Styela clava: one gene and its partner. The protein of the gene in region 1 binds, or shares a complex with, the protein of each later gene. Links are inferred from orthologs where the notes say so. Each region holds a gene or a part of one and is shown on either strand. Other genes may lie near its edges. The genes, in order: transportin-3-like and cleavage and polyadenylation specificity factor subunit 6-like.

Region 1 (16,629 bases):
GCAGGCCATATGACTAGGCTATCTTGACTATCCTCTTTCCTCTCCCCCAGGATAAATATTTACCGGTAATCTTATCCTATCCTACGGATTCAATTTAGCAGCAAAAATTAATTTTATGATATATTCAGCATATGAATTCCCTAATAACTTAAGTTATGAATTGCGGCATATAGACTACTTGAGAATTCACAGCAACATTAAAACTAACAAAACTACAACAGCTCTATTCATTAGCAAATTATTTGATGAGATTCTACCTTTTAGTAATCCTAATGTAGCGTCTGATGACACTTGCAAATCATCTGCAACCTAGAGAACATGCACACAACAAAGAAAAACAAAAAAGATTTAAAACATTGCCATGACCTGCAACATGATTTAATGCATCCAATTTTTACAAAGGGTGTGCTTTTAATTTTAGAAAAATTGTTAATGTGGGTCATCAGCCCTTTAAAAATACCGAGTGTAATCGGTAGAATTCTATTGCCGGGTATATTACAACTTATTTATAGATTATTACAGTAGAATATTAAAATAGCAAGAGTTAAATTCGACCCAATGTTTTGTTTCAACATATTATATTGGTATTCATGTTCCATATTTTTCTTCTAATCTGTGTGTTATATTTATATAACATATATTTCAATGCTTTGCATATTTCTGTATACAATTAATATATATTTTATGATGTTTATAAATAAAATAGATTTAAAGCCTTGCTTGGAGTGAAACATCTCATTAGGTGATGGATAGTCTGATATTCTTAATTCAGAATCCCATAGAATCATTATGTCATTTTCAATAGAGATCATACTAACACTGCGAACAAGTCTTTGAGCTAGCAAAAAGAGAAAGCTTCAGCTGTTCGGCTTCGTGATTAAACGATTCAAACTGTTTAGGCCAGGGCTCATCAATAAATTAAAGGTAGGCATATGTTAATCGAGAAACTAAGCTATATATATAAAACTTGAAATCTCTACGGTGATGATATATACAAAAAATACAATAAAAATGAACTAATGTATTGGCAATTACCATAACTAGGCATTCGAAATAATAATGATTGTTTGACAATTGCTAGATACCTTGGATATGCAATACAATTGTTTGGTATTCAAAAATTTTGTTATAGAATTCAATTATAACCGATTGTAACTGTATATTGCATAGAAATGAAAATTTATGTCATTTCGCAAGCATTTTAATTTTTTTCACATTTATAGATTCTTAAATATTTTCGGATAGTGATCTCTATAACATCTACTTGCATGAAAAATTCAATTCTATCTAGCTATCTACAACACTCTACCGCATTATGATTATTAACCTTTAATAATTGATGAATTACGAAGCGCATACCTGAACTAACTGGATCAATGCAGTATAATGTTGAATCATTTGCGATTGACAAACTTCACATAAATATTGAACAGATGTTGCAGCAACAGATGAAAGTTCTTTGGTTTGTAATGCATTTGTCAAGTATTGTAATGTATGATCTATAAAATGGTGTTGTAGGTCATGAGATTAAAAAGAGAAATCAAATCAATGGCTTAGCAATAGTGAATATAGTACTGAACTTGAATATGCCACCATCTAGGTTAGAGATCTCTGATCCACAGGAAATATTGTGGTCCATAGGCCCCTACGCCGGGGGTGGGCAAGGTTTTTGGAGCAGGGGCCAGGAATTTTGCCCATCTAGACTGGTGGGCCATGAAAGTGTGACGTAAGAGTTACATTTTATGAACAATATTTACAGTGTTACAAAGGTGAAAAACAATAAGCCTTGTGCCGAAACTACGGTAGATTAAATCGCAATTTCTACAAATTCCTTGAGTTATTTTTAACTAAGACGTTAAAATTTAGTTATTGCTTGGTTGTGGTAGCATTAGGCGGGCCAGAATTACCCATCAAGCCGGTTTTGGCCCACGGGCTGTAGTTTGCCCATGTCTGCCTTACGCAGTCGTTGGATGCTCATAAAAAGTTTTTTAAGAAGTCTATGTGTGATACCCTATAAAAAGTTAATAACAGCACATAATTGCATTATAGTAGTTTCTGTTGTTTGAAACTGATTTTTGTTCCTCACTCAATTCTAATCTTAAATTATTTAACTAGAGTCACCAAAATAAGCCTCTGATTCAATCTGGATAGTACAGTCATTCATAATAGAAAATAACATTAAACATCATACTCAGTAAATCAGGATGTTTTTCGATCCAAGTTGAAAGTTCACCAACTAATTGAATACTTGTATGCCGAACTGCAATATGTGTGGATGGTGGAAGAGAAAATATTGCTTGTAATACTTGTGGTGTGACAGTGACCTCAGTGCTGAAAATAAAAGGAATAACTATTCTATGCTTTCACAAAAGTTTAATGATAAATAAACTTATCTAGTTTCAATAAACTATGTCAAGTATTCTTGTCTACCTTCCTATTTTTTTGAACATTTCATATGAACTAGCCACAGAACACAAAAAAAGCAATCAAGTGTTTCCAGTGTCATTTTAGACTGCATAAAATCAAAAATTATTAGTCCAAGAAAACCATAACAGTATTATTCGACTTACGCTTTTACATTCTTCGCTATTGCCGTCATCATAAACAGAACAGATTCTGTGATATCCCACGTTACAACACCTTGTTTCGTACCATCGGGTGTTTGTATTTCTCCGCTTAACATTTTGAATAATCCGATAAAACATTCAGTTGGTCCAACCAAATATACAACATCCTTTACTAAATCAGCTGAATTATTTCTGAAATCTGCAAAATCATCTGCTGAATCCAGAATTGTGTCCTAAATGTAAGTTCATGAACCTAATAAATATTATTGATAGTTATATATCTGGATGTTTTCAAATATTAAATAATAGAAGTATACAAATAAAATAGAAATTTCAATTTGTACCAACTTTATAATTCAATATAAAACATGTCTGTGCAGATTTGTTTAATTTAGAAAATTTCAAATACAATGAAACACTTGAATACATTGAAATATCAAACCCCTGAAAAGTTGACACAGCACACAACACTGATTATACATGAAAAAGAAATCATGTATCATGGTGATTTCTAACGAGATTGGCGATCTTGGGATCTTCAAAGAGTTTCTTTTAATATTCGGAGAAATTCTAGTTTGGCAGAATGCCAGAATCTCAAATTTTACATTCACTTACATGATCTGGTTCCATTTGACAATGTCTAACAAGTGCAAAAATTAATCCTTCGGCATATGAACTATATATTTCACGAACAACTTTATGATCTAATGCATACAAAGCTTCAGATAATCTATACCAGTAGTTGAACGTGATGTCTGCGACCTGAACAAAACAAAATGAATAAAGGCAATGCTAGTAATATAACATACAGTTGAATTCGAGCTCTACGAAGCTCCCGTAGTGCGTGTACCAGGTTAGGGTTAGGCCATAATTTTATTCCGATTTTCCTTATTTTAAATACTATTACGACTTACGAGTTTGGCGACTGTCTGTATTAGCCAAGTGAATGTACCCCCTGTCCATGGATTATGTCCCTTTACACAACTTGGTGTAAAGAAAGCAGACAAAATTAGTTACCTCCATATTAGTACACACATTTTGAAGCGCCGTGGTGGGTGACGTGTTGGGCATGGGGTTTGAAACAGGGTAATTCAACCTGCAGTGGCAACATAGTCCAGGTACAATACTCTAACCACCACTCACCCAGCATAGATCACATACAAAACCCGTATGGTTAGTTGTAAATCGTAATTTTCTTTATTTTTCGACAAGGGATTGATATAATATGGTCCTAACTTCTATATGACCTCCATAGAAGGTTATTTCGTCGCATATACATAGCAAGTTATATTTTATGATCTACAAACCTCATATTGGCAATGTCCGACACACATCAATAGAATATCAAGGATTTCCAAATCTCCCAATCCTTCTCCAGGACTGTTGACCAAAATTTCTAATAATGATTCGGCAAGTTCAGTAAATATTCGACACAAATTTAAACATCTAAAAAAAATGAAATATGGAGATAATAACATACAAATATAATTGAAAAGAATCATAGTGAAAGTAGCAATGGAAAGAGAATACTTGACAGGCAATGAGCATAAATGAAAAATTTATCTTAAAGTTAAAATGCTAGAGTTTTTATTATATAGAGAAAGCAAAATTAATTCAGATATTACAAATACAAGAATGTTCAAGCAATATTAACCATGCATGAAGAATTTGGCTGTAGACAGTGGAGTTGTTAGAACTTATTAAAATAAGGATATGGATTTTGTCAGACAAGGAAAAATAAAAGTATGACATCGGTATGGATGAATTATATTCCGCTACTGATTTAAGATAAGATTTCATTTTTATCCAAGAGAGGAAAGTTGGTAAAACAACTCAATCATATGATAAAACAACTGCTTCCGCTCAAGTAGGGGTTACATCAACACACCCTACGATGACAACAAGTCCAACAATCCTATCACACATAATTAACCTTGTGCAGGTGTGGTGGTAATTACTGGAAAGCATGTTCCTACAGCTAAGCACAATGTGCCAACCGCCTATCATGATGGTATTGGTACCCCAAACAAATGTTAATTTTACGCCAAACCAGTATTCAGAGAAAAAGTTTATAACACTTCCGGATAAATTAAATCATACATTTTTATTTTATGCTACACTAGCAAATTGAAAACAGATGTATATAAGGTAATAGTTCAGGTGAGCTTGAACTGGTTGGCAGGCCATATTAGTTGTGTTGTAAAAGTTGATGAAATAGTTACAATTTGGTAATTGCAACTTGCAAGTCGGCCACAATTTCTATTATGATCAAATAAACAAAACAAGTAAGGCTTACTTATCTATATCTTCATTAGCATTCGCATCAATGTATGCTTGCTTAAGTCCAAGAGTTTTTGTAAATAATTGCTGAACTAAATCTTGATTTCTGCTAACATCCTCTGCAGCGTACAATGCAGAGCAAACACAGTCTGTTGCCGCCTCATGAAGTGATGAAGATGACGATAAAGTTCCCTGAATAAAAATTAAGATATTCTAATTAATTAATTACTGGCCATTAGAATTCATTCGAAAATTATCTATCTGTTCAATTGAATATATAATAAATAAAACTATTTTCCACCCAGACTTTCAAGCATTCCTAACTTTAAACATATTAAATATACATTGACTTCTATGTGTTCATTGTTATTAAACATGACCAAATTTAGAATATATATTTAATATTCCATGTAAAAGATCATATTAGAGTACTTAGGTCATGGCTTGGAAATAATTATTAATATCTAGATGAAATATTACAATGCATGCTTCCCCTGAACATTACCTATAGGCTATAAAATATTCAAAATCAAAGAGCCATCAAATACAATTTAAATTTAGTACTTACCAAAATCTGGAATGGTGCATCCAATATATTGGACCTTGCAGCATGATTGCCAGGGAACACACCAAGATAAAACCAACTTCCCAGACATTTGAATATTTTTGAAAGGATGCGTTCATCTTGCACTCTCGCTGAAAAGACATATCTTTAAGCATGCTTTTTCTCTTAACAAGGCATAGCACATGAATCAATTGTATGGCAAAAACAAAAACAAAACTGGTTAAATCATGGTGACCCTTCCAAAACCAATGCATTAGCCAATGCCTTAACTGAAAAATTCAAAGTAAATAAAAATAATTTCCTCATTATTTAAAGCTTGAAATGATATAAAACTGAATCAAATTTAGGTGTGGCACTTACTCAAACACGCTTGGATGACTTCGAGAACCATTGGCGCCGAATTCTCCATATCTTCTATAATATCTGTTCGTCTATTTGCACCAAGACGTAAATGGCGACTGTTTACCTGCTCAAAATATGCGAATATTACAACAAATTCTTTGCCATAGTCAAATATACTAGTAGTCTAGGACTAACTAACTAACATAGGCCGCATTTAGAAACTTGTGAATAAGGTCATGTCATGACATGTCCGAAATACAAATTTGGAATGCAATAAAATGTTTTATACAAATTATAAAGACACACAAATTAAATTAACTTTATTGGATTTTTATTTTTTATTTGCATTTTAATATAAGTCAGTAAAATTTAACAAGACTTACCTCTTCTGGTAAAACAGTGAGAATCTCAAGTAAATATGGCAACGCTTGAATATCTTTGCTGTATCTATAAAAGTTTATTGTCAGAATCAACATAAAGTTTCACTACACAATACAAAAATACAAAAAAGATTTTCTTACTTCTCAATAAATGTTAACGCTGGCACTTTCCACTGTGGCATCTGCAGTGCTAAATCACAAACAGCTAATGCAAGCTGAAAATAAAAAAAATAAATGAATATGATACTTATAAACTGAACCAATTTCTTTTAAATTTACATCAGATTAAGATGGGCATATCATCCATAACACAATTATTACTATCACTTTCATTGTTATATTTTAAGCTTCACTCAATTTTCTTCATATTATGATTTTTTTGAAAAAACTTGAAACTAATCGGAAAGCTCATAATCAACAAATCTGTGTTTATGTGACAGTATTTCACCTGTAGCATGTTTATCGTCCACATAATTGTGCTTAAATCTTTTACAAGTTCAAGTTCGGTCATTGAAAAACTGACTAAAAAACTGAAATTTTTAAAAACGTATAGCTGGTTAAAGCGTTAAGGATATATTTTAAAATCTGTATAGCGGATAAAACTTCAACCTGTGTCGTCAAAGCTGGAGAATATCCACATAATTGTTCTATATGTGTTAATAATGATTGCTTCAATCCTTCATGTGAATCAGGAGGTAGTTCACGAAAAGAATATAAAATCTGAAATGGTTGATAATTTTTTAGTTAATAAAGTTTCGTACAAGTTGCCTCTGTTAAAAGACGATCCACAAATTACTCTCTGATATCTTTAACAAGCCTTCAAAACAAAAACTACATTCGCAAAATTGTCACCCAAAATGGTTGTAAAAAAACAAGGCACATAATGAAACTAGAGATCAGTGAATGTTTGCATTGAATCGAAGGGAAATCCTAAAGGTTTATTATGCAGTGATGAACAACTAAACATACTGAAGCATATACGCCAGATATTGAGCAATATATCGTTGCTGGTTTATACACTTAACCATGATGTGTAATTTTTTCATGCCAAAAATATGTTTATTTTGCTATCATCTCATGCATATAAAGCAAATAGAACCACTTCTCAAAATCTATATGTGGAAGCTTGGCATTGGGATGGAGATAGCTGATGAAAAACTCTTAGTCGGTTCATCTACTAATCAAGTCCATGTGAGCATGATAAAAACTTTTCCATGGCCGACCATTAATTAATATATGAGAACGGAGCAGACTATGAAATAAGGTACAAGCTTTAACTAATTTCATCGTATTATCCCATTTTTCAATCAGAAACAGCATATTTTAGCACAATTGATTCAACTTAAACTCAAATCAGTACAATTCAACATTCTGAAATTTATTCAGTAATATATATGCAAAATACATACCTTTGTTCTCATTGTTTGTGCTGCAAAATATGTTGATTCAACATCTTGCTTTAGATGTAATAATTGATCTGCTGTCTCCCATGCAAACACCTAAAATGGTTTTGATATATCATCACTTGTCAGGTAGTTAGGCAAAATGGTCCGTTGACAGCAAATTGGTTTAGTCGTGGTGGCATCATAAAAAAATGCCTACCAAGAAATCCAGTCACAAATGAATTTGACAGTAATGGCCAAATGAAACACAATGCTATTCTCTTCACTGTGTCATCCAGGAGTCTCCTTTCCCATAGCATAAAATTGTAATAAATGGAATATCGAAATTAACAACATGAGAACCCCAAAAATAAAGTTGCATAGTAATATTATAACTGAAAATTTTTACTAGTAAATAACATACCGATCTCTGAAACTCTCCAAGCCAAAATGAAGCTTTTTCTTTTTCTTGAACATTGGGATTTTGATACAAAGTATTTACTGCATTGAGAACAGACCTGGCATTTTGTGACAATGCATTATCAGCCATAGTAAAATGCCAGACTGGTGCTGATGATCGTAAACAAATCGTCCTCAGGTTTTCAGAGCTTGGACTATAGAACTAATGCAAAGTCTGACCCCTTGAAATACTATAAATCGGTAAACTTATAGCCAGAATACAGTGCTGGTCATAATATAATAATAAAAGCTGCAAATAGTATTATCATTCATGTTAATTTCATATGAAACAATCGAAAAATAACGCTATCAGCTATCAGGTTACCATCTCTTATCAATATACTTAAAACAAATTAAAAAATCATCTTGGATCAATTTGAAAACATTACTTGACTAAGTTAGTTTACTTTTGTCAAATTTTTGTTTTTGCTCCAAACATCATGTAATTCTAATGAGCAGAAAGCAACATGCAAAATGACACCCATTAAAGTAAAAATATGGATTTAGAGAAAACAAACTACCAATGCATTTATCCGATTTTATGTAACTTGCTCAAAGCAAAACCATGTGCAGACACAGCCGACCTGCGCGAGCAAGATATAGTGAAATTTATACTTGTGAATAATGAGTACTCTCTCCTTCCAATTCATAATTGACACAATAATTTGTTACAACTTACAAATACTGCTGTACTGAAATTAAATAGGATAAATTGTGCAATGCGGTACCTTATATTGAACTCACTTTTATTGGAGTATTACAGTATTAATTTAGGTAAGGACTTATTTCTGTCTTATTTTTTACAAAGTTCAATTTTGAGTATTTTTGTTCCAGTGTTTCACAATTTTTAAATATATTCAGATGCTATTGGTCAGCTACCTGTCTTTTTCATTGGTCATAATTCCAATTTTCTTTATTTTTCTAAGTACCTACCTACCAGTAACAATTTATGGGTCTGGTATAGTTTAGTACCACACGTACTTCCAGTTGGGCTGGCTCAAAAATTTTTGCGTATGTCAATCCTAACCCCCACCTGAATACGTCACCAAAAAATGTCGTCACTACGAAGTCCCAGTGAGTAGCAAAATAAAGCTCTCCAAAGTGTACGGATGGTCGTCCAAAACGCGCAGTCGATCACTCGAAATCGAGCAACCTATTTCCCTCGTTTTCTCGTCGCAACGATATCGATATGAGAGGGATCGCAGGAGTTAGCGAGTTCGTTATTGGCACGCAAATACCGTTTCGGGAGAATGTAGCTCTACTTTGACAAGCTCTATGTGTGATTGTGACGTCGTAGTGACGTAACCGGTAACTTTTGGATGACATAGTCAGGTCTCAGGTGAGAGTTAGAATTGACATATGCAAAAATTGTTGAGCCAGCCCAACTGGAAGTACACGTGGTACTAAACTATACTAGATCCCAATTTATTATTTTCAAATACAACTATTAGACTCAAGTGCAATCATTAGATATTCACTTGGGCCAGTGTTTCCCAACCCGAGTCCGTGGTCTCAAATGAGTCCGCGAGGCGTTTGAATGAGTCCGCAACGAGCCAGCAATTCACTGCAGGCCACAAACGTTTTTGCGAAAGTTAATTATCAGCCAAGTTACGATTTACGTTAAAATTCACATAAAACATAGAAAGCAAGTTTATTCACATAACATTGATCAAGTCAATTATTACTAGTTACTGAGTATGGCTGGGCATATATTCGAGTATTCAACTATTACAATAGCAATTCACTATTCGAAAATTTGGTCACCAAGTGACGCGACTGGTCAAAGCGATTGGATTTCACAACTCACTAACAAATTTTCGACGAAAACACGGCCACACGCTGACACGCGTGGTGTTTCTCGCGAGTTCGAACAACAAAGAATATTTTTTTTTTTAGTAGGTGTCAATGGTGGCAACCCAAATTCTCTAAATTGAAAATCGGCAAACAAAATACTAAAAATAAAACGGAGAACACCATAACTTTATTGGCTATTCACACAGAGTAGCTACGGTTGCAATAAACGCACCTTGAGTCCGCAAAGGTTTTCGCCAGTAAGAAATTAGTCCGCGACCAAAAAAGGTTGGGAAACGCTGACTTAGGCTAATCACTGTGACTGATATTTTTATTTTCTGTCTTTTTTATTGGCAATAAATCCCATTTTCTTTTTTTTTTCGAAGTGCCAAGAGCATAGTCTATGTCAATCAATCAATCAATCATTTATTTTGGTTCTCTGACATGAACAATACAAAAAGTAAACAGATAAAACAAAATGCAAAGACACCTGGGAGACGGGCATAACTTAAAAAAATTAAAAGCGTACAATGTCTGAATGTACGTGCCCGCCCACCAAAAAAAACAAACACAGAAAAACGTGATTTACAATCGGGCAGTACCGGACTGGTACTTTGAAAGCAATTTGACAAAAACAGAAAATTGAAGTAAATAATTGAATGCAATAAACTTCTAGTCTACCTTTTAAATTAAAATGCGAGACGTGTATGTGTAACACAACAGTGCTTTTCAATGTGGTGATCAAGCCTGTGCGCCTCCTTATACGGTAATGCTGAAGCAAGTCGGCTTTCGTCTTTCCTGGATAAATACAGTACGGTACCGGTACCGGTAGTTCTGAAATAGGTACCGTGTCCGTATGTAAATCCAGTACCGTACCGATAACGTAGTGCAGCAGTATGTAAAACCATTCTGCCATAAGACTGTTAGAGAATCATGAGACAAATATTATCCAATATCCAATACCGGAAAATCTTCCGATTTACCCAAAGTTTTTCACCATCAAGTCATTTTTTTTTTTTTTTTTTTTTTTTTTTTGCCAAATTCAATTCCAGAGTCAATATGGAATTATTTAATTATGTTTTTGAAGCCAATTAAATTTTCAGTTTTTGTTTTATATAATTTTATTTATTTTTTTTTTTTTTTTGAAACCAATTGCATGTATTGCGTTCCAATTACGGTAATTGAGGAAAATTAAAACAGTTGGATAAACAATTATTAATACATATCAAACCCAGTGATGATGATCCATTTTTCGTCATATATCCGTTTGTATTGAAGATTGTCCATATTTCATCATAAATATAGCATTTTTATGTACATATATAATTAATTATTTTATATTAGCATGGAAAAGAAGAGAAGGTTTCAAAAAATTAGACAGAAAATTCAAAAACCTATCATGCTACTAGATTTTCATTTAATCTGTCTATGTTATGCAATCATTTATATAGTCAAACCTCCTAAATCAAGACAATCTCAATTTCTTCAACTCATTATCGATTTTTGTAGTACATCATCAACGATTTCGTCAGATAATATTCTTTGCCTATCAAAATCTGACATTAATCTGATTACACCCAGGAGTTTGCATTTAAAAATAGCTCGCAAGTTACATTGCATTTGGAATACATCATCATATTTGACACTATTCCTGAACTCCCATATGGCTGATTTTCCACATTGAATGATTAATGATACCACTTCACTATGAATATTATTAGCAATAATTATGTCACAATTGATTTCCCTTACATTGCACCACTGCCAAAAGTCAATTATCCAATCACAATAGCAAAATAAATGTATACAGGTTTCTTCATTTTCATTACAAAATACACATTGTCCATTCTCATCATCAAACCAATATTTTAATTTGTCCCCCGTAGGTAAACCATTATGTAAAATTTTCCAACTTAGAATTTTATATTTATTTGAGAGTTTATATTGCCAAATATTTGACCAGTCTATAGGAATATTCAAATTTAATTTTTGTGTAATGTACATATCATGCCGTGTAGCAATTTCTGTGATTTTCCTTATTTTCAATAAACTACTTATTTTTTTGGTGGATAAATTGGAGTTCATATATCTATTGATTCCAAGTCTGTTTTCGGGTAAATTATGATCTCTCGATAGAATTTCTTTCCAGCTAATAGGTAGATTGCCCCAAACCTGTTGGATTTCACTAGAGCATCTATTTAAATAAAAGAGCTTTCTTCTGTGATTCCCAATTTGATCAATAGAATATATTCTATTTGTTAAATAATGCACAGTGTTATCCACAATATCAGCCACAGAAATGACTTTTGCTTGGATCCATTTGGACGAAAATCTAAAATTTTGCTCTGAGATTAAGGGATTGTACCATAAAATTTCATTTTTAACCTCTGTAATATTAAAGGGATGATTTCTCTCCAACTTAATATCCTTGAATGAATTGATAATGGCGGTATAAAAATTAGGTATGGTAGTTACTTTGTCAAATTGGACTTTCAAATACAGACATTCCAAATTATCTTTGGACAAAATATTACAATAATTATTAATAAAATAATTGGCTCTTTTACTCCATGGCCTACTCTCGTTTTTGAGGATTTTAAAAATCCATTTGACCTGAAGAGCTTTTATTTGGCTCCTGAGGTCTAACATATTCAAACCTCCGGATGTGAAAATATTAGATGTAATTTGTCTTGACACTAGTTGAGTTTTATTATTCCAAATGAATTTCCATATTATAGATTCTAATTTTCGAACGAAGTTTCCTGGCATAATTTCAAAATTGGCTATGTGCCACACTTTGGATAACATTAATGATTTGACAATAATAATTTTTCCTATCATTGATAACTTCCGTCCCTGCCATAAATTTACTACATTTTGAATTGAGTTAATGATTTTCAACCAGTTTTTATCTCTTGATACAACATTGTTTCCTATATAAGCTCCTAGAATTTTAAGCTCTTCTTGAATTTGAATACCCTTGTATGAAGGTCCTAAGTTTAGCCGTTTTGCTGACCCACACAACAATATGTTGCATTTTGGAATATTTATTCTCAAGCCTGTAGCTTTTTCAAATTCTGCCATTAATTTTAATACTTCATCTATGGAGGATAAACTTTCTACTGTGACAATAGTGTCATCCGCAAAACCTTTATATTTCTCCCTATCTCCTGCACAATTTTGAAAACCTATTATTGCTCTATTGTATCTGATGCTGGATGCTAACAATTCGGACATTATAATATATAAAAGTGGGGCAAGGGGGCAACCTTGTCTAACTCCTCGTGTTATACTAAATTGCTTTGATAAAAATCCATTTGTTATTATTTTTGCATTGGTGTTGTTAAATAGGGTATTGACCCATCGAATGAAATAATTACCAAAATTAACTTTTTTTAATATTCTTAGTAACAAAACTCTATCAACAGTATCGTAAGCCTTTTCTTGGTCTATACTAAAAATTATTAACGGTTGGTTTTGTTTATTCGCCCAAAAAATGTCATCTCTTATTGTTAATAAATTTTCATGAATCGTTCTTCCTTCAATAAATCCTGTTTGGTCATGATTTATTATATCAGGCAGTACTGCTTTCATTCTCAAAGCTAAAACTTTTGCGATTAATTTATATTCGAAATTAAGTAGAGTAATAGGCAACCAACTTGTCTAATGTTACACACAAACACGTTCATGGACGCCATCTTGTGCCATATTCGGGAAACGCGAAACAATGGAGTCTTATGGGAAATTTTCGTCCTGTTGTTGGACCGAATCGAATAAGTCAGCTGTTATAAGGGCTAGAATGAAGCCGAAAGGGTGGATTTTGACCTTTAAGCCAGATGCTATCTAAATATATAACGCAATTGAAAATGAAAAAAACTATCTAATGCGTTAAATTTGACCACAAACACAACGTAGAACCATTTTTTCGAAGATTTCATAGTGATACGCCAATTTGACGCTGTAACAACTAACATGTCTCCGCAACAATCCTACCATGGCATTTGTTCCTCTAGCACAGTCTGGAGCTGAGCAGTAGGGCATTATGGAGCTTGGCAGACGAAAAATGTTAATGCGAAAATAGAAACGGCCCTTGAAACGAAGTTGAGCCGGCCGGTAATTTCGACGAATAAATACAACTTCTAATCTCTGACATCATAAAGAACGCCATTGTCAAATGGTTAATTATGACGAGTAGAATGGCCAACTTACTTCGGAAGCCACTCGGTCTCGAAACCGGTATTCTTGTCTTCAAAGGCAATTTGATGTACCTAAAATTGGAATTTAGCAAACATGAAAATATATCATCGAGTTCGGCTAAGATTCTCCTCCAAAATGCGACCTTCAAAATTGTATACCTAAAATATTAGTGAAAACAAAAGAGCTATGCTCAAATATATGGACACGTAGAGTCACATAATTTTGATGACGTCATAGCAAAAAAAAAAGTAATAGCCTTCTGGAGAAAATTTTTATCTTTAACCACTGAAAATTTCAAAGCAATTGGTCCAGTATTCGAAGAGAAAAGCGACTTTTTAAAAACGTGTCAAGAACAACAACAACAACAACAACATAATATTGAAACGATCGTTATGTCCACTACGTGTCCAATAATAGGTATGTTTCAATAATTGTGTGTGGACTTCTCATAAGGCGCCGTGTTAGATAGCCGAGAACAATAGGCACAAGATGGCGTCTAATGTCTGAGCGTTGCCTCGTTTGTATTATTTGTATTATATATTCACTTTGGCCCAACGACTAATATACCGGGGAAACGACATTGGATATGCAGATTGTATGATTATATCCAACATTAATTAAGCCGTGAAGCTCCTTAATTGAATGAAATTATATTTCTCTTAACTTCGATGTTTTTGTGAAATAAATACGACATCGATGGAAAAGTATATTTTTTAATCACCACATAGCAAACACATCACATATCAAATAGAAGATAGATTCAAAAGGTCATTTATTAATCTTTTTCGCTAATCACTCACAGTCACAACATATTTAAATTCATCGATTTACGAATATTTATGAAGTTTATGTTCAGCTTTCTCAGCTCAGGAAGGAGGTTATTCTGGTGAGCTTTAATTGTTTGACCACACGGCTGGCTCTTTTTGAAATTTAGGCACATGTTCGCTTCCGTCTTCATGCATCAAAACCCCAGCTGCGTGAACCTTTTCTCCGAGTTTTTCCTCGTCGATTTAATAAAAACGATTGAGAAGTCTTCATTGAGATTGAAGCAGGCGACAATGTGAAAGCATCTAGTGGTTTCTTTCGAACACATCCTTCAGGCAATGGAATATCTGGTAAAATATTGCAAATAGAGTTGTATATCGAAACATATTTATGCTGTATATGGCGAAAACTGCACACCGCTTAAGGATGAAGAAAAGTTGGTATCGCCGTGTAAATTAATTGCACATATTCCCGGGTACACACCCTTAACAACAGAAATCTTATTCTTGACACTGTTTTTCAGAAACGTTTCAACGTCAAATCTAATTACAAGATAAGTAGAAAGTCTATGATGAGATGAGGGATGGTGCACAATGATATTTCATGTACATAGACTCGCCCGCGCTTGTTTTGTTGATAAATCCTCAAGTGGAAAATATTTTTACGGGTAAGCGCAATATCAAATTGATGTTTACAACTGACAATGGTTGCTTCATTATGTTTGGACAAATTATTGAACCGTATCAGAAAATCCAATCATTCGAGGATCGAATCGGATCGTTGTTACGACGGTCATTCGTTCATCGTTGAAAGAAAAACCACGCCTTGAGACGACCAAGTATGCTTTCTGGTCAGGGCGATATTAAATTGAATAATGTTACGTATATGAACAAAAACATATTGTCGTTCCACAAAATGTAAGCGAGGTTTTGCCTATGTCCCTCGGACTAGGTTTTCAAGAACTTATGTCACACCATATTGTCTTCAGTTAATGTTGCCGTATATATATATACACTGTTTTCATTCATCAAGTCGCCTTAGATGTTGGTACTATCGTTATCACATCGATACGAACAAATTAATGGAACGATATTCCTCCTCAATGGCGTGGTGTTATTATTACTCAAATAAATAAAACCCTGCAAATCGTAAACAATATTGTTCTTTTAAGAAAATTTCTTATGAGGTGTGATACTATTCTTCCCACATAACAAATTCCTATGTTCATATAACTCGGAAACATTGCGTTGTTCCAATAACATAGTACTTACTTGTTGATGATAGAGATATCAGCAGTGAAATTCTACGTATAATTCTCAAATTTTGTGTGATGTCACAAACAAGGAAAAAACTTCGGGAGGGGTCGCGAATAACTTTCACTGTGACACAGAGGCAATTCGTAGATGGCGAAAGAGAAAGAGTATTCAGCAAGAAATGCAACATGAAGTATTTTCTTATGCGCACCTCGCTAAAACAGAATTCCGGACTCTAATGGAAATGAGTCGCATGATAGGAGGGGTGTAATGTCCCAAGTAGAACCCGAATTAGTGGAAGTCAAGAAATAGCACTCATTCTATTAAACTGTAAATACTACATAAAATAAATGAATGCTTTATGTAATGAGTTGCTATTCGATTATTATATGAACCACATGTCATTAGAAAAACAAAATTGTGAGGCGACCGCTATTTATATAAATATTTAAAAAATTGAGACCACTGCTCTTGAAAGAACAAGCATTTTTTCGCGAGGCAGAATCTCACAGACGGATGTTTCTCCGAGCATCTTTTTTATTAATTTCCATAACGTTGCCTAATAAGAAGGAAGTCAACGGTAATGGCATAATTGAAATTTTATTATCTCCTCGTACATTTTACATTCAGACAGATTTCCAGGTATAG
Region 2 (17,267 bases), on another chromosome or scaffold:
TCTGTCAAGAACTTCATTTCACCCCAAACAGACAATTTTTTTTTTAAACAAACACACACATTACTTTTTTGTTTGGCGTTATTTTGAAGAGTTTCGGCATTTACTTAGCTAGACCCTAGAATTGGAATTGAGATCTTCAATAGCCAGCTAAAATGCAATGTCTTTTATTGAGTGAAAATTCGAGCCACTCTCTGATTATGTCTTTGCTTGAAAGTATATTTAGAAGGTTACGAGTCGCAAATGCCATTGCATCGGTCGTCAAAATTATCTCATCAGAGTCATTACCCGCAAGTTATTTGGAAAGTGGTATTCAAGTTTTATGTGAAATTATTTAAAAAAAATTGTAGTAGAAGCAGTAGAAATAAAGTATCATAAAAGTTTCAGAGCAATAAAATTCTGTTGGCCATGATAAAAAAGAATGCAAACATGTAAGATGTCACAGTTATCATGATAGCTTAAGTAAATGTATAATGGTATTTAAGAGAGTTACAGCAAGAACTGAGAGTACCGGTGTTTGCCATTCTTTCTTCTGTATTCATATAACTTTTGGAATAAGGTTGATATTGTTGCTTTGAGTAAACTTGCATAAAATGGGCTTCAAACATACAGGGTGACCCTACCAACACCTCGCCCCCACCCAGAAAAAAAAACAGAACCCGTATATTTTCTTTTTCGAACTTTTTTTCATTGTTTACGCTTGAAGTTCTGTTTGTGCATGTATTGTACCTAACAGAATGACATATCGCAATGACTGAGTAAGAAAAAATCATGTTGCTCTTTTGAAAAACGGTAACCCTGAAATTACGGGCCCAGTGAATTAAACGCTGTGACTGCTTATAGTGCCAAACAAAATTGTGACGAGAAAAAAACATCCAAACTTTTATTTTTTCTAGTAGAAATATGTCTCACAGGGAACACTATATCCTTTTTGCCATAGGAAATACCTGCTTAGTTGAAATTGGGTAGGTTTGATTTTAACTAAATGCGTCTATGGCGAAAATTTCATTCTGCGCCTGACAGACTTTTATTTAATTATTAATAAAAAAACATAAAAATTTAGGATAGAATAATTTTTACATATTTATCCCATGGGAGAGGAATAAGACAGCTTAGCCATATGGCAAACCACGGCCTCTTGTCCGGTTACCATTCCATGTCGGGTATGGGATTAGTTAGTTATTTGTTTTCGGAAGCATGTACTTGATGGTGGAGGAAGCCGTGAACCACGCTACGGAGGCGAGAAGTCCAGCAATCCTCTCGCACATAACTATCCCTGCATGGGATTCGAACCCACGCAGAGTTATCCAGTAATCAGAGGTGCGGTGGCGAGGATATTAGGATAGGATTTACATATTTATCCCGGAGGGAAGGAAAGCCAATATTAAAGCTTTTAAATCATATGGCGAACCACGGCCTCTCGTCTGGTTACCAGTCCAGGTCGGGTATGGGATTAGTTAGCCAGCTATTTGTTTTCGGAAGCATGGACTGGATGGTGGAGGATTGCCACCGCATCTCCGATTACCTCGCGTGGGTTCGCAGGCTTCCTCCACCATCAAGTCCATGCTTCCGAAAACAAATAACTGGCTAGCTAACTAATCGCATACCCGACCTGGACTGGTAACCGGACGAGAGGCCGTGGAGAGAGCGTATTCCTAACGCTTAGCAAGATGAGCCACACCACCCAATCGTCAAAATCGACTGTTCTACTGACTCAATACAGTAGTAATATAGGCCTACCACAGAAACAGAAAAATATTTCATGTTCCCGTTTTATTGTTTTAGTGAACTACCGGTACCGGTACCGGTATAGCCTAGTCTAATAGTCCACTCATGCTACACAAAACCTTCCGACCCTAACAATTCAGCAATACCAAGAATTAGAACATCATATATATAAATATCTTTATATGTACTTACTATTTTGCAAGTTTTTCAAACAACGTTTTTGTCTCATCTTCTGTTAAAGGACGCATAGTCAGTTTATTATTTGTCAGAGACGTTGAAACCGGGGCAAGACGTGAAGCTGTGCACGAAAATCAGAAAATATCACTGCCGCTACTCGCGAAACGTGTTTGTAGTAAATAGCTGGCTTCATTAGAATCTACTAAAATACTAAATCACGTATCACGTGGTCCGCTTTTTATAATATTTTGGTAAAGAGCTGATTTATGCGGGTTGCTTTTTTGCTTATTGTCGGGATGCCTTCGGTCCGTAATTTATTATCCCAGACGGTCAGCTAAAGTTTTTGTCTTGAAACGAAATCGGCTGTTTGTCTGCTTGTGGAGAATTATTTTCTGGAGCCATATATAATTGTTCAATTTGGTTTAGTTCAGTTTAATGAGAAATAATTTTGAATATGACGGCGATAAAACACGCCTTGCAAAGGGATTTATTCACCCCAAATGATGAAAGATTGTTGGGCGTTGTTCACGTTGCTAAAACGGGAAAGAAAAAGAAGTCATCTTTTTTATGTGCTTCAGGTTAGTAATCTATGCTATATGTATAAGGTATAGTATCCAAATGATATAAGGTGTTTTCGTGAAAGTTTTTTGTGTGTTTAGATCCTGAATACCACTTTTTGCTATAGAGTTTTGTCCTTTTGTCATTTTATTTACAAATACTGAAATTGCTAAATTACTGAAATTATGAATACCCGCTGCACTCTAATTCACAAGGCAAGCCTCTCCTTTTATGGTCACAAGTTTATTTTGATTCTTAAAAGTCTGAAAAAGCTAACGAAGACTAGTTTTCCAGCTTTTTGATTGTACATTTTAGTTAAACCACTGGCACGGCCGCAAGGAATACACTCACCACCGGTACCTCTGATTACTCTGCATGGATTCGCAGGCTCAAATCCCATGCGGGGATAGTTATGTGCGAGAGGATTGCTGGACTCCTCGCCACCGTACGGTGGTTCATGTAACCCCTGGTCGGTTACGGCTGCCTCCACCATCAAGTCCATGCTTCCGAAAACAAATAACCAACTATTCCCATGCCTGACATGAAATGGCAACCAGACGAGAGGCCGTGGTTCGCCATATGGTTAAGCCTTCTTATCGCCTTTCCTCCCCTGGGATAAATATGTAAATCCCATCCTATTTTTCTATCAATCCAACTGAAGTTAATCATGCAATATTGAGCAATGTAATCATTGTAAACAGAGTATTGCTGATACGAACTAGTCAAAAAACATTACAGCATTAATTGAGAGTGAAACAAACATGACAAGTTTGATCGGGCTTCAAGCTTGGGGACCATTGTGATATTACATGTATATAATTTACGTAAAAAGTTAATATAAGTCAAGCTAATGTTTTTTACTTCCATGCATTCTTTAGCTAATATTCAGAGTGGAATAATGACAGAATGGGTTGTCAAGGACACACTTGACAATGCCACGACAGTCAAACTGCAGGTTCAGAGGTTGGAATACTGTGTTGCACAATCATAATATGTACTAATTGAGTATGATTCCTTTCACTATTCAAGACCATGTGTCTGAACCTTTCGATTAGTAATTTGATTTGTCAGTTGGTTCATCGTGCTTGAATCATGATTGCCATGCCACTGCTCATCACTCAGAGCCTTCATGGGGATAATTATGCAAGAGCAGATTTCTGACTGGTCTGTTGTTACTTTCTCCGCCATCCAAAAATAATTCCAGGTAGAGTAGGATTGGCCATATTGCTCATTGTTCTGTAAGAAACGATTGCTTACAAGTTATGCATGTGCCTTTAGAAGCAGTATATATAAAATTCTTATGGCCTGACGGTGTGGCACTTCATGCTGAGCCGAGGCATTGAGAAAACGCTTGCTACTGCACATCCGATTACCCTGCTTGGATTCGCAGTTTCGAATTCCGTGTGGGATTATCATGTGCGACGGGATTGTGGACTCTGCGCCACCTGGTTCACAGCTTCCTCGACCATGCATATAACTGTCCAACTAATCCCACACTCGAGGCCCTGATTCGGCATAGGATTAAGCTGTCCTATTGGCTTTCTCCTCCCCCAGGATAAATATGTAAATCTTATATATTGCTTGTAAATGAGGATCAAATAAATGAACCCTCTATGAGAGGTGATTGAAGAAATAACTAATTTTATTACATTTTACAATATTCAGGAAAATTTTAGTATTTCAGAATACTTGATTGCCAGAATTGTACTCAGATATGGGATTTCTAATAATTGTGTGTCCTGTTTCCACAAATTATTTATCAGTTTGAAATGTAATGTGTGACGCCCAACCTCTGATACTGCTTATTCCCTATGCTAAATGTGATTCTAATCGTTATATGTTTTTGTGGCTTTCAACACTATTAATGCTTAAAACAAATTGTTCATATACTTAGTATTGTCTGCACACAGATTCATGTCCTAACACTGGCTGCTGTACGGTGATTGTTTTTTAGTAAGTAGAGATGTTTACTTTCTGATTGTGCCTACAGATAGTTGTTATTATAAGTTTAATTTGTAAAAGTTGGCGACATTGGACGATAAATATTTCTTTGTTAAGCATTATTCGAACACTGCCCCATTGTGACAGACAGGAATAACGAGTGTGTCGCAATTTATAGTATGATGTGGTGATTATTTGTACACGGCCCGCACGCTTCTGGGGATATGTATATTTGGCCCACTAGTACATCAAGTTTACCTACCACTGGTCTAACTTCTTCAGGCTAATTGAAATGTAACCTGAACCTAAAAGCGGAATGACCAAACCAAATGAACTATGATTTTCTGTGATATTCAGCATAACATGACTCTTTTACCGAAAATTGTTAGGAACCACCGGTCCATCACTACCAAATGCCTTCAAGTGTTGATATTTTAATACCTGTATAATTTCAATAAAGAATAATTAAAAGCATGATTACACAACACACTTGCACGAATTTGAAACGAAATGTAAAAGGAAAAATAAATAATTGATAAAAAGATAGGGGCAAGACTTAAAATTGACTTACGGTAGGCAAGTATGTATAAAATGGTCACACAAATTCAGGGAAACTTCTGTTGACTCAATAAAAAATTGACATAGCATAGTAAAATTTTGTAAAAGCTAAAATGAACGCTCTTAGATCTACTGTACAACAGAATTTATGATTGTGTATAAAACAGGTTGATACTAATCATAACCCATCGTGTGCTTTAAAGTAAATCCTTGCCAGTTGCAGATAACTTCATTGTATAAGACTAAGAGGTTCGCTGGATTGCCTGGCATTGAAACATGGCAATTTCCTCACTCTTCATGCTTGTTACTCATCTTCAGTACATTGTCGTTTTGATGGAAGGCCTATAGATAATAATATAATACTTTATGGATGAGATAGCATACCATTCTGAATAATCTCTTAGTGATGTAGACTGAATAATACCAGACTAGCAATGCTGGGTATGTTATGCAGGATGTCTCACATCTACGACCTATGGTAATCAATACTATGTGTGAACTCATCTTTTTGTGCACATAAGCAACCTGAGTCTAGCAAAACATTTGATATATCCATCCATACCTACTCTATGCATTGATTTTAATAGGTTTGATAATTTCATGTCAAAGTTTTCAAGGCAGGCAGATACGAAATAATCTCTGACACACTCAAATATTATTATCCAAGTACATTGCGGTGCATAATTCGGGGGAACAAATTTCAACGATAGTTCAACCAGAGGCTTCAAAAGAAATTGAACAATCATGCACTGGTTGTAACAAACTTATAAAAAAAAAGAATATGTACCTTCTTCAATTTTAACTATATGGGCATCATGTGGAGGATAAATCTGTGTCTGACTTCTTTTTTTATAATCCATGTTATTGAATTTCTTTCTTATCGCCCGATGTAGTGTAGGGGAGTATCTTAATCCATTTTGACAAAGAACCGGGTACTCAGAGCATAGGTTAGTAACTGTACACTTTACTTCGTATTGGTCAGGATTTCGTCCGAGAACATTTTTGAGAATAGTTGAAATATCTCTCACTAATTCTTGGAATGCTTTTCTGTTCGTATTATTTAAGATGTCATATCCCTTTGACATATATTCCCGTAGCGATACGTTTAAAGGAAAAGGCCAAGTTATACCATTAGGGTAAGGCAAAGGAGATGCATTTTTAGAAGCAAGATAGCTTTTCTTCTGGTTTTGGAAGGTCATTGTACTAGAGGTTTCAGGACCATCCGATACCTCATCATCAGGATTGGAATTATCATGCAGGTCAATGGGACTTTGTGATGTCACATGGAGAGAATTCCAGTCTTTTAAAGCTGAGTAAAGCATTGTCCAACCATCCTCTCCTTCACTGCGAAGGCCTGGGTATTCAACACATAACATGGCTGCTGTATATCGTAAATCACCTTCTGATATATTTGGTCCAAGACTGTTTTTCAAAGTGTTATGAACTTCAGCCACAAGGCTGTTAAACACAGAATCATTTCGCTTAATACTGTTAATGCCCACTAAAGACTCTTTGAGAATTTGGCTTAGTGGGAAAGGTGATGTTATATTTCCAGGATAGGGAATGAAAAATGTATTAGGACTTTTAGGGGACTTAGGTACGATCTTATTATGTATTGGTGAGGAAGGCCCAAATATAGATGAATTCGAGGATTCGGCTTCATCATCGGAAGATATTGGAACAAGACCCTCGGGGGTTTGTGCATTTTTACGAAAGTAATTTGAAAACATATTCGGAGATGAAACTGAAGTAACTTTCTTAATGATGCACGGATCTCTTTCTTCTTGTATATTTTCATTAAGAATAGTCTTCGTTGTTCTTGCTTCCTACAAAAAAAAAATTTATTTTTTTGAGTGAGTGTATTGTCACCTTTCATGATGCATATCTATATTGAAAAATATCATAATATAAAATTTATTTATGTTTCACAGCAGAATTCAATTTCCTCAATAAACTAAAATTGTTAAATCCAAGTAGAACAAGAAGATTAAGATAAATAAGCATTCTAGAAGCCCTGATGCCATACCTGTAATTTAGGAGGACTTCTCTTGAATGCTTTAAAAAATAACCACAATTCTTTTCTGATTCCAAAGCGAAATCCTCTGAATTCCTCATTCACATCTTCTCTAGTTAGTTGATCGATGTCATCCATTTGGAATTCAGCATCTTAGAAAAAAAGGTAGTTTGAAGTAGGAACTTAGGGAAATACCGTATTTTCAGGCTTATTGGGTGAAAATTACGGTAATTTTAGTATGACAAAAAATCAATATTTTGATATTGAAAGTACCTGTATATCATTATTGCGTTTATAAAAAACTTTTTCTGTTTTATAATATCAATCCAACCACCAAAGTAGGTAGCACATAATAACCATCATTTGGAAAATGTGAACCTACCTTCTATTGCCTTCACAATATCAGAGGTAAATTGTGTTGATGCTTTAGCTATCATCTCTGACAGGTTTGCAGACATTTTAACGAGTTTTGATTAAGAGTTTGAAAGCTGTTAAAGTAAAAGCGTTGTGTCATTTGATGAAATTGTTGATTTAAAAAAATGTTATCATTGTTAATTTTCAAAATACTCAATTTAACCCCAACTGTATTTAATGACATAGACTACTCAAAATATGGTCATGGGCTTTTAATATCCACATGTTTTTTAATAGAACTAGTAAGCTCTTAAATATCTTCCCAAAAACCATCCTAACCTGACAAGCTGAGCAGTAACAAGTGAATAATGAGATTTTCATATTTATTCCTGTGAGAGGAAAGTTGATTAATCATAGGCGGATATTATGAACCGGCCTTTCGCCCGATTACGAGTTCCATTTGGGGTATGGACTCTTTCAGTCCCATACCAATCAGCCGATGCTGCATGACACATACATATATCAGTAACTTCCTAAGTTGTTAGCAAAGACAGAAATTCGGTCTTTTAGAAGTGCTTCAACGTACTTATCAGTATATTTGACAACCATCGCACCACTGGTACCCTTAATACTCCACCGTAGTCATTTATTCGACAGTTAGGACGCAATATTCCGCTTCCATTTAGTAAACACAACCCCCATATACTGTTAAAGCATAGGACGTCTGTGTTTACAACGGGGTCGAACTAATTAATCACGTGCTTGTTCCGCCCGAAGTGCTTCTGTTTCACGACGCTCCGCTAACGCGATATTTCGCAGAATTACGCTACAAATTGCAACTTGCTTGTTTTTTTATATTGCAATATTCAAATGCAATTTTACAACCTAGTTTTGATTAAACTACAGTACCGGTTAGTATATTACGTTCTAAGCTGAGAGATATGTTGAAAATGACCCCCGATTGGATGAAATATTTCATACAATGGCGACTAAATAGTTTAAAACTATGTGCTTGATTGTCACTGCTAGGCATTGGCTTTCACAGCATGATATACTGAGGTGACAAATTATGCTATTCTTTTAATTAAAATGGGTAAAGATCAAACGAAATACGGCGCCTTTTCCCGCGATTAGCAGGCAATCAAGGCTCGCAGTTTATCTGCCGAACAGCATTGTGGGAACCTTTTTTCTCTCTGTCTAGCGTGCGTCGCGCTAGCGCTATCGCCATTTTCAGCGTGTATTTTTGTGTGGCTTAGTTGCGCGCGCGTTTGTGATTGTGATTTTGTAGTTTTACTTTTGTCAGTGTCATTTTGTTCATGTCTTGAATTTATTGTATATTAAGGTCGATTTATTTAGCGATATGACTGACGGTGTTGATATAGATCTTTATGCAGACGTTGACCACGAATTTGCTCAGGACGACGGACTGTATACCCAGGGCAACGTGGATTTGTATGATGATATGTTGCAACCGTCGAGCAGAGCGACCATCCATTCTAACGGCATGCACAGCGTTCAACATGGAAGCGATAAGACCCAGGGGGATATGAAGTTTAATTACCAGGGCAAAAAGGTGTCCATTTATGTTGGAAATTTAACTTGGTGGACTACTGACAAAGATCTGCAAGATGAAATCAGTGCTTTGGGTGTCAATGATTTAATTGAAATAAAATTTCATGAAAACAGGGCAAATGGCCAGTCAAAGGGTTTTGCAATTGTGCATCTTGCTTCTGAGTCTTCATCTAGAATAGTTATGGATAAGTTGCCAGGGAAAGAGTTACATGGCCAAACTCCTGTTGTTACACCATGTAATCGCCAAAGTTTAAATCAATTTGAACAACAGTCCAAAGCACAATCTGGAAATAGTGGTGGTCCGCCACCACAAAAGCCGGCATCACCACCGCCACTCCAACTGCCACCAAGGCCTTCTCTTTCTGTGAGCTCTTTCAATGTTGTTCATCAAGCACCACCAGCTCTGGCTGTTGCAAGTTTAGGACCTCCTGCCTCAACAGCACCGACATCAGCTCTTTTTATGCCTCCGCGCAATCGTCTGGTCCTTCCATTCCCTCCTCCAGCAGCTGCAGGTAACAGACCACCTGCTATTTTTATTCCACCAACTAGCGTAGCCATTGCTCCACCTTCTTCGATTCCCCCTCCTGGAATGACACTGCCACCTACTCTAATGCCACCCAGAGTGGCACTGCCACCAGGTATGCCAGGACCGCCGCCTCCAGGCTTACCGACACTTATTCGTGGCCCTGGTGGTATCCTAATTGATCCAAGAATTCCACCTCCACGACCAATGATGCCACCAATATCTCCAAATCAGCCACCACCTGCCGTAAGGCCACCACATATTGGTGCACCCCCATTAGGGCCTCCCCCAGGGTTCCCACCCCCACCGGTACAAATTAACCCCTTGATTCCACCTCCTGCTGCAGAATTGCCACCAGCTCAAGAGACATACAGACAGGAGCGCTCACAATCGCCGCCATTATCAGATACTGAAGTGGAAGAAATAATGAATAGGAATAGAGCAGTTTCAAGTAGCGCAATTTCACGAGCTGTTTCCGATGCAAGCGCTGGTGATTATGGAAGTGCAATTGAAACTTTAGTCACTGCCATATCTTTGATAAAACAATCTAAAGTTGCTACAGATGAAAGAGCGAAAGTATTGATTGGATCATTACAAGATTGCCTACATGGCGTGGAAGAGAAATCATTTGGATCTGGATCGATAAGAAAAAGAGATCGATCGAGGGATAGAGATCGAGAAGAAAGACCAAGACATCGGGAGTCGAAGTCGAGGAGACGAGACAGAGACAGAGATCGTGACAGAGACAGATCCCGAAGCAGAGAGAGATATGACGATCGAGAATACAGAGAAAGAAGTCGAGAACGAGACAGCGGAGGGTATTCATCATCACGTCACTCGGATCGTCACCGACGTTGAAATGAATTACATTACAAAAACTGGATGCTTTATTGCATTGTACAGAAAACAATAGTTGTTGCTTTTAGCACCAAATCTGAAATGGTCGGTTTCGAGAATGTAAAGTGGATGCTGATGAACTATGTCTACAAGTCATTGATACAATTCCACATTTTTCAATGATTAATTGTGTATAAATTGATACTTCATTACTGTTGGAATGTATCTTAATAAAATTCAAAATGGTTTTATGATTGGTTTCTATTTATCCTATTATACAATTGCAAGGGGGTTATTCATTTTACTGTCTCATTTTATCTAGCATATTTTCATGTCATTATGTCGGTACGTCTTTGAAATAGGGTCTTTCTCAGTGCGATATGTCAACAGTTGTGGGTTATTAGAAGGGTTAGTTTAAGTTGGGGCTAATCATGAAATGTGTATATAAGGATTCAGAGTCTTATCAATTTTAATAGTATATATAATTTCGGGAATTCATCATGCAATGGTTAAAAGTGAAAGTGCTTTGTTCAAAAATGGTGTAAAATTGTCGATTATGTCATTTATTTATTTTCGCATGGCATATATGTGGCGTGATTCCATGATGGTATCAATCATTGAAGAATGCTGCCAAAAATTGTAACACTGTGGATTTTTAAGGTTGGTAATTTTTTATGCAATCATTTAAGTGCAACTTTTGCCTCTGTTTTTATTTATGCAATATTTTTGTGTCTATTCTGTACTGTTCTGGGTATGTCATTTTCGGCCAGTGTCCACTCTTTGACACTTGGCTCGAAATGTGGAACCCAAATATATTTTTTTCCTTTCTGAATAATTGCCATTATCGGAATTTTTAATAATTTAATATGATGTGGTGCAAAATTTCTCAACCTTTTTTTTTTCAATTTCCGAACGCTGCTTGACCTCTTCTTCATACAGTTAACAGGATAATACAGTTTGAATGAATTGAAATGTTTTAAAGGTGTCAATGATGCACATTTTTTTAGTGGGAAAATTCTTGCACAATAATCAATATTAGGAATTCTGATGATGTCATTTATTGGTTAAATTACCGTTTTAAGATACTATACTTTATAAATAACATTTCTAAAGTCATTTCCAAAATCCTCAACACCATTATTTGGGTTGGTGGTCAAGGAAGACTTTCAAAAGTGTAATGGTGCTTGTATCATTTACTCCTGAAATCGACCCTCAATTACTTTTGAATATTGTAAAATAGCAGCTGTAATTTCAAAATTCAAATTAGTTCACTTTATTTCGTTCAGGTAGGCTAATTCATTGGTCGAGAAGGTGATGGTGTAGTGATGAGTGTAAATAGAAAAATTGTATTTTTTCTTTGTATGAATTATTTATATCTTCAAAATATCTGATTACCAGTAAGAGAACTTGTCTATTATTTATGAATGTTGGCAGATTAATTGGCTGCCTTTTCTTTAATAATAATTTCATTTTCAGAATTCTCTTTTCAAATGCGGTTTTCTGTATTTGTATAGGCAAGAGTATAGTAGTGCTCTTATGGTAGTAACGTTCATTTAGATCATGTATTTTTGATTCACCACTAAAAAGGATTTTGTTTGGTGCTAGCTTACTTATTTTTGTGCACCATGAGTTGCGTCCTTGGTTTTGAGACACTGTTGACCCTGTTGACCTAGATTTAAACCCCAGATCTATAGACATCACATACTGGGTATATATATGGTTTGTGGCAATTTTGATTGCTCACATTTGAGACGTCGTTTCATGAACTAATAATACTCAAATCTGGTGATACTGAATTCCTAACATATATCATATTTTCCTGCTAATAAGCTGATTTTTTGGACCCAATTTTTTTGTCTGATTTTCTTGGATTGACTTGTTGCACTGATGGCCTTGACTGTTTTTTTTCTCTCGAACCGGCTTATTATAAACTTCGGGCCAGAAAATACTGGAAACTCACAAACAGTGGATAAAAGTACCAGTGAGGCGGTAACACATTTATAAGCCTCTGCTTATTGGGTGGTAATACTAATATGTTATAAATTGGCTTCAGCACATACGCCGTGTCATCTTATTTGCTGGAAAATATGTATTTGTATGTCTAGTTGCGAGTTATTATTGCAGAGTGGCTGACGGGATAGGTTTTATACTTTTAATTTCCATCACATTTATATCACTGCCAGCATGAAACTTCTTTTAGAAAGTAGGCCTATTTAACAATTTGTAGGCACTTTTTTTTGTATGGTAATTATTCAGAGTAGAAGCTTGATCATGATATTTTCCATATTTTACTCGGATGAAATCTTGAGAATTATAGATTTTTTGCAGTCAAAATCAAAGTATTTCGGTCTTTGGTTTTGTGTGTCTATTAGTGTGAATCGTTAATTCATTTTTTGAAAATGATTTCCAATGTTAGCCCAAGACAAAAATTTAATCCAAACGAAATTCAATCGAAATTAGGAGTCTTTTAAATTTTATTATTTACGTAATGTGATATATACTTGTTTCCGGGTGGGTTTTTCGGACACCATTTTATGTCAGCAAATATTCGTGCAGTTCGTATCAAAATTCTGAAGCAGATATATTGCAATATAGCACTAACATATAATACAGTTTTCACTAGTTTCTATGTATCTGTAAAATAGGAATTGTTCCAGCAAATTAACTTTCATGCATGTGCTCTATTCCATCTAAAAGTGGCCATAGTTCCAGCTGATTTATGATTTTATGTTATTATTGTTAATTAATATTATAGCTCGACCGATATCGAATTTTGAAGCCGATATCGCCAACTGGTGGCTGATAACCGATATCACAATGCCGATATTATTAAAAATCATATTTTGAGCCACGCTCTTATGATGCACCTTGTGAGTTTGTAGTTTCATTTTGATATTTGTTATCATGGCAGTAACACTTTTATTTAACTAACTTTAGTTAATGCTCGAACAAATGTTTTTTCTGTAACTTTTCTTGCTACTTCAATATCAGACTAGCTATTTCCAGGAAAATGAATTGTTAATCAGACGTTTTTACATATAACTATGGATATATGTCAAGGGTGATAAAAAATTATAGCGTGATATATTTTAAAGTGAATCGTGATAATGATCTTTCGATATTGTGATAGCCTATGTGCAGTTACATGTGAAATTTTTAATAACTTTGTTTCCAGAGACTCTCAATACCTTATTTAGTCAATAATAATGGATGAAGTTTTTATTTTGTAATTTTCAGCAAAATGATAAACAACCATCAATATAGACAAAACTGTTACCCCAGAAATTCAAAATTGATTTGGGGAGGTCACAAATTCGGAACTGACATTATTGCTTTGAGCTACCTGTACCATGTTTCCATGATCACTAACTCACCAGCTTCCAATCGATTCTATTTATAGAACCACCGTTTAATACTGTTACTAAATTTCCCTTTTTCTCATTGTGTACTCTCTCAAATATGTCACTTTATAAAAGTCATTGTTACTCCAGATAATAACTTTTCAGTTATGACCATGCATGAAATGGCTAATCATAAGACACTGGGAATTAGGAGAGACACCTTTATAACGCAAAATGAGAGCGAGAGAAATATTGGCAAACCAGTTACGCAGGGCCGTTGCAGCACGCAGCCCGGCGCTTGCCGAGCATGGCCGATATATATCGGCGGTTTACGTCCGATATGATATATCGGCAAACACGCAATATTGGCCCGATATATCGGTTGGCCGATATATCAGTCGAGCTCTAATTAATATATTTTTATTAAACCAACTTGGTAATATATTGTCTACCTGTAGATATTGCTTTCATTCTTTCTCTTCCTGAGAACTTTGAAGTTGAAATTTTCAGAATTAAATTTTTAGTCCAGTTCACCCGTAGTGAGCGTGTTATAGCCAGGACTGGGAGCTAGGTTCCAGCTCCATCGTGACTCTACCTTCGCAACTTATTGCTTCAGCTTCGTAGTCATAATGAGTTTTTTGGTATAACGATGGTATGCGACATTATCGCAGTTGCGCAGAATCGGAACTCAAAACTATTATGATACAAGGGTTTTGAATTTTAAAATTAAATCCTGAATACACAAATTTACTATTTCAAATTAATATTAGAAATTAAAATTAAACAAAAAATGATAAGCTGAAAAAGTTAAATTGCATTATTTGTGTCAAGTAATAAAAAATTCATGCATAGGAAAAAATAGATTGTTAATTATCTGGAGCCACTAAAATTTTTGGTAGCTGAAGCTCTATCCAGTATAGTAAGCTTGTCTCCACCCCTCAATATAATGTTACAACTCCAGCTTCCAGCCCTGGTTATAACGAAGGATTTGGATGTACCGGTACATGGGACCATAAAGGGAATTCCAGTAAAACAACTTCGATACAAATAGCTTAACCATTTTACTACTGAAAATTTTCAGTAAAATGACTAGATAATATAATTTTTTGCATGAGCTGTTTTGTAATATTGGTACATCATTGTTAATATTAGTAATTGCAGCTTTTTTGGCATAAAAATTATAGTAGATGCTAATGCGGTGGTTCTCAACCTTAACAGTATTGCCCTATTCATGTCAAAACTGTATCCATGTCATCATTGTTAATATTAGTAATTGCAGCTTTTTTGGCATAAAAATTATAGTAGATGCTAATGCGGTGGTTCTCAACCTTAACAGTATTGCCCTATTCATGTGTCGTTAACTAAATATATTCATGTCCATTGAGCTGACATACCTATAAAAAAGTATGTGTCATCATTTTGATGCAAAAGACTTCGGAAACATTAAATTTGTGTAACATTGTCAAGACATTTAATGAAATTTAGAAATGCATCTCTTATTAATTCCTATAAGATCCTGTTTATCCTCTTATTTCATGTTTCTATGTTCCATCACTTCCTCATATCAAAGATTCTGAAAGGTTGAGAACCATTTGGCTGATACATGTGAATATATGTACCGGTATAAAAATATAAAGTAATAATACATTGACTAATATCTGTGGATAATAGATTGAGATGTTCTATATACGGTAGTTTTATTGTTTTGAAAGGCTCATTTTTCTTGGCTTTGTTTCATATAATGTTCTCCCCGAAATTTAGTTTTTAAAAGGATATCATCATTTGAAAGCAAATATACAAATTTATCTGTTTTATATACATTAGTTACAGTTACTCAGTCAGAATTCCTTTATAAAATAGTTATCTTGGAGAGCTGAACTGATAATTTCAATTAGTAATTTTTTTTCCCTTTTGGATCGGAAATTTCTTGTTCAAGCTGAATAAATCTTACTTACTTCTTGCTTGCGTGGCATAATTGCTGGAATACTTTATTTCGTACCTGTACTGTTGTTGTGTGAGATTGTTTCACTTTTTATATTGTCTTTAACCCTTTGTTCTGCTTCCCACCAATATATAGATAACTTAAAACGATTGGGCAGATGTTAAATATAAATGTGGTCTTTAAGTTCTGAATTTTACTGTTTAGCTATTGTATTTTACCAGAGTTGTTTTGCATATTAGTATCTTTTCACCAACTATGGCTTGGGTTACAAGGATACTTATTAAATAAAGAATTACCCACTTATTACAATTTTATGATTTTTTTGTTGCCGATTTTTTGGTGACATCTAGGCAAAAAAAGGATAGAGTGCATAATTAGTGTGTGCTCTTTTCTTTACAATACTGTTTTGAAGTGCTTTTCAGAAAGTGGTTGTGCGTCCTTCTTCTCTGTGTGTTTATTTTATGTAATTTTTAAACTAAGTTGACTAAATTGAGTTTAAATTGAACCACTGTGCCCCCATTTTGTACTTTTATATTTTACTTTATAATTATGTGCCTACAGAATTTATTTACTTATATAGCAGAGCTGTCTGCAAACAGCATCACAAGCCAGTCAATACAAGTTAGTTTAAACTTATTTGAGCAGCAAATTGTTTCTGTGGCCTGGTGTAGCCAAACTTATTGATGGTATGAAAAATGAGTGTGTGATAAATAGAAGAGAGATTGTTTTGTGGTATATCTGTAACTTTGTATGAATGGATGCATTTGGAGTTGTGTCATATTTGATCTGTAACTTTTAAATTATACAATATATAGCACTCAAATTTTAAAATTATGTCTTCCCACCTTTTTCAGTAACGACAGAGCACCCTGTTGAGGTCTACATTACCAAAATCAAGAAACAGGACAAGGGAGACTTGTATAAGAGACAGAAAAAATGGCACCTAAGAGAACTGAAAATGGTCGATGGCAAGGATTCAAAAAAGGTAGGTGACATTATTTTAAATATTCCTGCTTAGTGCGGACTGCGGAGATGTACAAAGAAATTTGAAAAGTATATATTATTGATCACAAAATAGACCTATGAGTTGTTGTTGTTAATGATCAGAAAAATTGCTAGAAGGCTATTACGTATAATTCTTTTCAAGTTACCACATATCCCCACATGAAAGCTGACCTCGCATATAACACAACCACGAAAACGGCCTTAAAACAACGAATTTATAAAAATTCGCATATAAGCCGACCCTACGAATCGTAACACGCCGGACGCCAGTGGCTAAATCAACATCTCTTTCTTTTCTCTGTCTTTTCTTTTGAAGATACCATTGGTGGCAACTTCACACCATCTGCAGTGCAATTGAGCACTACTGTAAAATGTTTTTTTTAAGCCCTGTTGATAAAGACTATTTTTCACCTTCTGGGTTTAATGTTTTATTGCTTAGCTTCCCAAAACACATTAGGGTTTCGTCTATATTGCCTATTCTATTGAAAGGGAAATTATCATTCTTTCGTTTATTTATCACGTAATGTTGAAAGTTCATCACCTTTTCCTGAAATTCTGATGGCAGCTCTTAGTTTTTGGTTTTAGTGAAATCCCATTTCTCCTCAAAAACTTTGTACACCAACCCTTGGAAGCAGTGAAGGTTGAGGTGTCTTGGTATTTTCCAGATTTGGCCATCTGCAATGTTTGCAACTGCACTGCACTTTCCCATTTCATGGGAAA

Evidence for each region.
Region 2: the proteins of transportin-3-like (region 1) and cleavage and polyadenylation specificity factor subunit 6-like are in contact, whole or in part, in a crystal structure (PDB 6GX9), measured with the Homo sapiens proteins. The link is inferred for Styela clava from reciprocal best matches to the Homo sapiens genes TNPO3 and CPSF6. Residues at the interface, in NP_036602.1 of Homo sapiens: Arg620, Asn656, Arg657, Glu660, Arg661, Arg664, Arg667, Phe668, Arg671, Ser698, Cys699, Tyr702, Ile706, Asp709, Asp747, Asp750, Asp751, Arg754, Arg758, Gln761, Cys793, Arg797; in NP_008938.2 of Homo sapiens: Tyr521, Arg522, Glu523, Arg524, Ser525, Glu527, Arg528.

Annotation. Positions count from the first base shown.
Region 1 is NC_135255.1:3,144,753-3,161,381, reverse strand, and holds the start of transportin-3-like, read right to left. Parts: upstream 8,235-16,629; 5' UTR 8,067-8,234; coding exon 7,941-8,066; intron 7,634-7,940; coding exon 7,544-7,633; intron 6,855-7,543; coding exon 6,744-6,854; intron 6,350-6,743; coding exon 6,276-6,349; intron 6,202-6,275; coding exon 6,138-6,201; intron 5,879-6,137; coding exon 5,773-5,878; intron 5,544-5,772; coding exon 5,416-5,543; intron 5,040-5,415; coding exon 4,864-5,039; intron 4,014-4,863; coding exon 3,875-4,013; intron 3,330-3,874; coding exon 3,183-3,329; intron 2,801-3,182; coding exon 2,571-2,800; intron 2,332-2,570; coding exon 2,192-2,331; intron 1,500-2,191; coding exon 1,360-1,499; intron 310-1,359; coding exon 258-309; intron 1-257. UniProt on the Homo sapiens protein: Importin, which transports target proteins into the nucleus. Specifically mediates the nuclear import of splicing factor serine/arginine (SR) proteins, such as RBM4, SFRS1 and SFRS2, by recognizing phosphorylated SR domains.
Region 2 is NC_135261.1:10,513,360-10,530,626, forward strand, and holds cleavage and polyadenylation specificity factor subunit 6-like, read left to right. Parts: upstream 1-8,633; 5' UTR 8,634-8,687; coding exon 8,688-10,280; 3' UTR 10,281-15,822; downstream 15,823-17,267. Other genes in the region: 60S ribosome subunit biogenesis protein NIP7 homolog, read right to left, coding at 1,918-1,973; exocyst complex component 1-like, read left to right, coding at 2,357-2,480, 16,397-16,527; uncharacterized protein LOC120329417, read right to left, coding at 5,264-5,301, 5,747-6,785, 6,986-7,125, 7,356-7,431. UniProt on the Homo sapiens protein: Component of the cleavage factor Im (CFIm) complex that functions as an activator of the pre-mRNA 3'-end cleavage and polyadenylation processing required for the maturation of pre-mRNA into functional mRNAs.